Linked DNA regions of Drosophila melanogaster. The protein of the gene in region 1 interacts with the protein of each later gene in a pairwise test. Each region holds a gene or a part of one and is shown in the gene's direction. Other genes may lie near its edges.

Region 1 (3,600 bases):
ATAAAGAAGGATGTGGAGAACGAGCTGTCGGATAAAATTGAGATTATGGTCTATTGTCCGCTGACCATACGTCAAAAGTTACTATACAGGGCGCTGAAGCAAAAGATCCGCATTGAGGATCTCCTTCACCTGACCAGTGGATCAACCACTACTTCGTCCTCATCTTCGGCATCGAACCTGATGAATCTGGTCATGCAATTCCGCAAGGTATGCAATCATCCTGAGCTTTTTGAAAGAAGGGACGCAAGAAGTCCGTTTTTCATGCGCTGTGCGGAGTATACCATTCCCAGATTGATTCATGAGGAAGGACTCATACACAGAATGCTGCCCAGTCGAAAGCACTTGCTCTATAACCGGTAAGTGGATAGGTTTTGAACATTTTATCATATTTGAATTTTTAATCCTTGACTGCCCATTTGCAGGTTCAATATCTTCAAATCGGAATACATACAGAGGTCTCTCTTTGAGGATGTGAACGTGAATAGTTGCTTCGGATTTACCCGGCTTTGCGATTTATCTGTGGGAGATATGGTAGAAGTAACTTTAAATGGACTGATAGATTTGTGAGTATTCCTATACCCTTTACCTGTAAGTAACATGTTTATAATAGCAAAATTCGCAAATGTCGTGCTCCTTTGTTTGATAATAACAAATGGTTAAATACTTACAATACTTACGTTTGTTTTTCTACAGTCTTTTGCATTATCGAAGAGTTTTGGAGAAATACCCACTGCTGGCCTACCGTCGCTTTTGGTGGAAAAAGCAGCCGGACAGTAGATATCAACTGCTGGAGCCGATGTTGGAAAACAAACTAGCTCTCGACTATATGCCACCAAACAGTGTCCTTAAGAACTTCATATTCACAGCAATGGTATAATTATTTATATTTATAAATTTTTATTCGAACAATTTATACAATGATTTATGCTTAAAGACCGCCAACGAAAGCAGCGTTTACGCATTTGGCGATTACTTTACGTACAATATGCAGGAAACTATCGAACACCGTGTAATTCGGTCAAAGATTCTGAAGAAGAAAACGTCGCTAATCGAGGAGATGGAGGATGTGTCCAAGCAAAAGCTGGAAATCGAGTCTGTGGAGGTGCAAACAAAGTCGAATGCCAAAAGCGATGTTAAGGTGACGACGCTGCTGCTGCTACCAGAGTTTCCGCATCGCCCACGAAAGCCAAGAAAATACGTATGCGAACCGCTTTCCATGCCACGAATACTTTACGATTTGGGACAAAAAGTTCAAGCTGTGCATAGATATTTATAGTAAGTTTCAAATGGATTCATCGAAACCGATCCAGGTTTTTAACTTTTTTTATATCAATTTTAGCTGCGATAGTCGATCTGCAGCGTGGTCCCAGATTCGCCACAATCAGTGTGAGAATAGCCAGGGCAGGGAGCTTGTCTCCAGTGGATTGGCCTTGTGCAAGCCTCATGGTGGATGGTCCTCGATTGTGGTGCCCGACAAGGAAACCCTGATTACCGATGCTGGTAAGCTTTTTGTTCTTGACAACTTGCTAACTCGATTGAAGGCGAATGGACATCGAGTACTCATATACTCGCAGATGACCAAGATGATAGACCTGCTCGAGGTAAGTTTATTAAACTTGAAACGATCACTGTTCAGTTTAATTTTTTGATAAAATGTCTAGGAGTACATGTGGCACCGCAAGCATCGCTATATGCGCCTGGATGGCTCAAGCAAGATATCCGCTCGTCGCGATATGGTTGCCGATTTTCAAACGAGAGCAGATATCTTCGTGTTCTTACTGTCTACGAGAGCCGGAGGACTGGGAATTAATTTAACAGCCGCCGATACGGTGAGTTCATATTATACTTACTTTTTCATTTATGTATATTGATGTACAATATCAATTTTTTTTACCGTGCCTTTCAAAAAAGTTTGTCCCTTGTTTCGATTTCGTTTAATTTTTTCTTGAAATCACATTGTGAATTTATATTAGTGCCTTTTAAAAACTTTTCACTCATACGCTCTCCGAAATTTCTATTGTATTAGTCAAATCCATTCATTTTCAACAATAACTTTAAGTAGTCCAAATTTCAAGTTCATTTCAAATGCATAACAACAGCTGTTTAGAACCCATGGACAGGACCAAGACTACGAAACTTCCTCAGCTCAAGTCCAGCGTTACTCCCTACAGACCAAAGCCGAACCTAATCCGTAGTGATTCCCCGAAATTAGAGAACGATAAGCGTAATGGGCTGGACTTGGAGCTTCTGGATAATCCAGAGATACCGAGCGTAAAGCGAGTACGATGGGCTCCGATGTATGGGGAAAGGAGCCCGAGTAAGACCGGCTTTACCAGCGTTCCACTAAGCTCCAAAAAGGCGCAGTTTGATCATGATACGACAGATGAGTTAATACTGGCTAACGAGCTTCGATTAGCGGTGCATCGTGGGGGAGGTTCCATAGATCCCGACAAGAACTACGAGCTGAGGGCTCGACTGTCGCCCTTGCAATTGCCGTACAGTCGAGTGCAGCGAATTCTGAAGGAGTGCGAGTTGAGCGAGAGGAATCATCACACCTATAGTATACCCATGGACTATGGGCGGCAATTGGTTGCCATGGTTTGCAAGATCAGGACGGATAATCTCCCCGAACTGAAACTTCGCTTGGCCTCCTTACTGCGGCAAAACAAAGCGCGCTTCTTCAATCGACATTTATTCAACGAAACTGGCTTGATTGAGGCCACATTGCCGAGCGTAACACCATTAAGCTTTGAGGAATTCAATCAAACGTTGCGAATTGATGCTTTGTGGTGCAAAGCCACCGATAGTACCATTACCGATTTGGCCAAAGGATCTGTTTTGTTCAAATGTCGGCCTCTGGACCTGCAAGAGGTCGCGTACAAACTCAGGCAGTGCAACTACAAGATTGTACATAAGGAGGTTGGACACTGTCCAAACAAGCCGCTCGTCGAGTTAAATGATCGTCAAATGGCCCGCTATCAGGAGTTTCGTAAAAACCTTCTTCAAGACATAGATGTCGTAAAGATCTATGACAATGTGCGTGTCCAGTAGTTCAAGTCAGTTCGGCAAAAATCACAAGTAATTTTAAATTATCAAAAGTTTAAATTATCCGTAATACAAAACTCTTAATGACCCTCTAGAACTTTATCGTATAAACTATTTGTATAGTTTATTGTAAAGAATGTTTTCTCTATTTTTTTTTAAAGTGTGTTTTGATCAGTACTCTATTCAAGTACGAAAAATAGCCATATGTTTTCACATATGAGAGCGTAATTATAATTGGGACTGCTTTGAGTAGGTACTCAAACGTCGAATATATAAGCGGTGACTAATTTGGAAAGTCAAATAAATTTTAAATATAGTACTATGACTTCTTCCAAAATGTTTTATATTTTTTCATATGCAGGCTTAGCTCTTAGTTCTCTACATTATAGTAATTGTTCCCCATTCATTTGATGATTTATAGACAGGTTTGGGACAATATTTTACACGTCAGTATAGAGAGAGAAATTCCTTTGCCATTGTCCCGATCTCGGTGGCGGAAAAACCCTGTGTGGCTCTTGTATTCATTTGCTAAACTACTTGTTCATGCACTGCGGC
Region 2 (3,705 bases), about 12 Mb from region 1:
AAAACGGAAAGACCGAAAAAGCAACGATGCTGAGGTGAACGGAGCTGAACTGATTCCGACCTAGAGATGGCACAGGATTCCATGTATGACAAGGGCCTTGGGTTTCCTATTGCATTATGCGGATTTCTTGACTTAAATAAAGTTTCCATCCCTTAAGTATAAAACGTACCAAAATAAAAATAGTAATACAATTTTACTACCATTCATGGAATATTTTATATTCTCTTAAACTGAGTCTTTTGCAGATAAAATAATATAGTACTTTCACGGACTGTCACTAAAAGTATGCACATTCACCACTAATTGCAAAAGACATTGTGCACACTATTCGCTTATGCGTTGAAATAAGACGCAAGCTCCTTCCTTTCTCTCTCTCTCGTCCTGTCGTACGACAGAACAATAGAAAATTTGACAGAACAAAAATGTTAGAAAGGAATTTGAAAAAATACTGTTAATAGTAATGTAATGTAATTAACAGTAATGCTTTAATACGTAGACCTTTTGCGTTCGTCTTTACTTGCCTATTTTATTGTATTAAAAGAATTAAAGTAAGTCTAAACATTACAATTAATAGCATTAGAACCCGAAAACGACTATAATGTACATTGGTCAAGAGCCATTATTTCCATTCACTGTCCGACTCGTATTCCTCCCAGTCCGGTTTCACGCCCACGGGCAACTTCTTCTGCTCCAGGTAAACGTTAAACTGCTCCGGAATCGACATAAATCTGCGAATCTTCAAGCGGAACTGCCGCCACGTCCACTGGCCAAAGTTTTTCCGATCGGCAACCATCGCCTTGTAGTTAAACTTATGTTTGTTAAGAAAGTAGGACAGTTCCTTGACCACGCCCTTGGGTAATCTGTGCAAATACAAAACCTGTATTTTGACAGTTTTCCATTGCAGAATCAATATTTTACCTGAACTCTGGGTCGGCTCGCTCGCTAGCCAGTTGTTCTAGTTCCTGGACTACGTGTCCACGTTTTGGACCCTCCTCTACGACTGGTTTCTTGAGGCCCAATACACGCCGCTCATCCTCGTCCAGCTCCTCCTCCAGAAACCCATTCACAACTCGGGCCGCTAGGAGGCGGTCCTTCTTGTAGCTGGGAATCGCAATGGCCTTGTTGACGTCCTTGGCCAACCCCATTTCACTGAAGTTGGTGCCCACACGCTGGTCCTCCATCCACATCTTTTTCATCCTGGGACTGGTAAGATCATAACAGAAGGTTTTCGTAAACTTGTTGACTCTATTGGCTGTAAGTGCACCAAGATCCAACTTACTCCTTAATTTTTCCGGTGGAACTCCGGGTTTTATTCATCGTCTTGCGGTTTACATTGTAGCGATAACGCTTGCGAGCATGATTCTTGCGGATCTTCATTGTTGAGAGGTTTAATTAATGAATCAAACAATGTTTAAAATCAATTGAGGGGACCAAAACAATTTTAAAACCGCACGTGTTGCAGCTGTTAGGAGTGACCGTGGACCGTAAAATACCGAAACCCTGATTTCAGTATTTCAATACCGCATAGCTAGAGATGACATACCGGCAAGATAAATGTTTTCGATAACGATAACGGCACGGCGTTATCTACAAGATTTTGTTTATATCCGTAGGAAACAAAATATAAATTAAGCCACCATGCGTGATGAGATTTTGGACCCCAGTAACCTAGTGAAGAACCGGGAGATACTCTACCGACTGATGATCAGCCAGCTGATGTACGACGGCCTGGAGAAGTTCGCCATGGAGCTGTCCATGCTGGTGAAGGCGGACCAGTGCGCTCCCAGTGAACGCCTGCTGCACGTAATGATTGCAGGGATGCAGACGCTGAGCGACAAGGACAAAACCAACTCGGATGATGTGCTGCCCGGCATAGACTTGGAATTCGAGCCGGAGGCTTCGGCCTTGGCCCCGGAACCACATTCCTACGAAACCGCGTATGTGACCTCGCACAAGCAGGCCTGTCGCGCCGGCGCCTTCAGTTGCGATGGTTCCCTGGTGGCCACCGGGAGCGTGGATGCCAGCATCAAGATTCTGGACGTGGAGCGGATGCTGGCGAAGTCTGCGCCCGAAGATATCGAGCCGGGCAGGGAACAACAAGGCCATCCAGTGATTCGCACGCTCTATGATCACACTGATGAAGTGTCTTACCTGGAGTTCCATCCCAAGGAGCACATCCTGGCCTCCGCCTCGCGCGATGGCACTGTTAAGTTGTTTGACATTGCCAAGCCTTCGGTAAAGAAGGCCCACAAGGTGTTCACCGACTGCGAGCCGGTGCTGTGCCTGTCTTTTCATCCTACTGGTGACTACGTAGCCATCGGAACGGAACATAACGTCTTGCGGGTCTACGATGTGGCCACCACCCAATGCTTCGTGAGTGCCATTCCCTCGCAGCAGCACAAGGCTGGAGTTACTTGCGTGAAATATTCGCCCACGGGGAAACTCTACGCCACAGGCAGCTATGATGGTGACATCAAAATATGGGATGGGATCAGCGGGCGGTGCATCAACACCATTGCCGAGGCGCATGGCGGAGCGGCAATATGCTCACTGGAGTTTACGCGGAATGGAAAGGTAATGGGACACTATGGGTAGTGGCTGTGCAAGATTTTAACTTATTCATTTTAGTACCTCCTATCTTCCGGTATGGATTCACTGGTTTATCTGTGGGAGCTGTGTACCAGTCGTCCCATTCAGACGTACACGGGCGCTGGAACCACCGGCAAGCAGGAGCACCAGACAGAGGCTGTATTCAACCACACAGAGGATTACGTGCTTTTCCCCGACGAGGCCACCACTTCGCTTTGCTCGTGGAACTCCCGTAACGGCTGCCGCCTGACCCTTAACTCGCTTGGACACAACGGACCTGTCCGCTATATTACGCATTCGCCCAATGGTCCTGCTTTCCTCACCTGCTCCGACGACTTTCGGGCACGTTTCTGGTACCGAAGAGCAAATAATCAGTAAACGGATGAAGCTACACCAATCGAATAAAACTTTAAGGAATAAAATATGTACACGTTCATTATTCAATTATTGTGATTGGCTGTGGGGGTTTTTAAGTGTATCGATTTGTGATTTTATCAGAATTAATGAAATATGTTTCAAACGCTTTTAAAAATAATTAATCAGTAAAATTTTCTTTATTAAAAACTCGTTTGTGGTTTTTCCATGAATAGTTATCCTAAAATCGCAACTATAATTTCTAGTCATTGAGCGCACAAGTCTTAAGTCGTATTTGTTGCGTTAAGTAAACTGTAAAAATCATAATACATAATACCAGATTGGGATTCCGTATAAATATCAGTTGTCTCTTCACTGGAAGTCCGTTTTGTTGTACGCTGGAACATTGATCCAATGCCTTATGACTACACCTAGATCCTAGTTAAGTGGCCTTAGTAGTTAATTAAGTTTACAACATTTCGTGGGGCCGCAGAACAGCGTTGTCGCGTTCCTCCGAAGCCACCAACACGTTTTGAAGATTGCACAATTAGCCAATACATTTGATTCCAACTTGTTGCCAAGGAAATGAACAAAATTATACTACGGACTTTGAGTATTAAACAAAATATAGCTATGTACAACAAAAAATAAAAAACAAAGGTCTATATAAAAAGGTTTAACAAAATCACAAAGAGAAATGAAAAGTTCTAAAGTTGCTTGCCTTACGGATCGTGTGCGGATCCAGTAAGCGGCCAGTCGAAT

Evidence for each region.
Region 2: the proteins of CG31244 (region 1) and CstF50 interact in a two-hybrid assay, tested with the Drosophila melanogaster proteins (one large-scale study listed by BioGRID).

The regions. Positions count from the first base shown.
Region 1 is NT_033777.3:19,396,968-19,400,567, reverse strand, and holds CG31244 (uncharacterized protein), read left to right. Parts: upstream 1-2,000; 5' UTR 2,001-2,085; coding exon 2,086-3,051; 3' UTR 3,052-3,138; downstream 3,139-3,600. Other genes in the region: INO80 complex subunit, read left to right, coding at 1-356, 423-563, 694-871, 935-1,275, 1,340-1,601, 1,662-1,829.
Region 2 is NT_033777.3:31,734,814-31,738,518, reverse strand, and holds CstF50 (cleavage stimulation factor 50 kD subunit), read left to right. Parts: upstream 1-1,555; 5' UTR 1,556-1,638; coding exon 1,639-2,574; intron 2,575-2,628; coding exon 2,629-2,967; 3' UTR 2,968-3,016; downstream 3,017-3,705. Other genes in the region: CG11563 (uncharacterized protein), read right to left, coding at 620-860, 919-1,203, 1,280-1,377.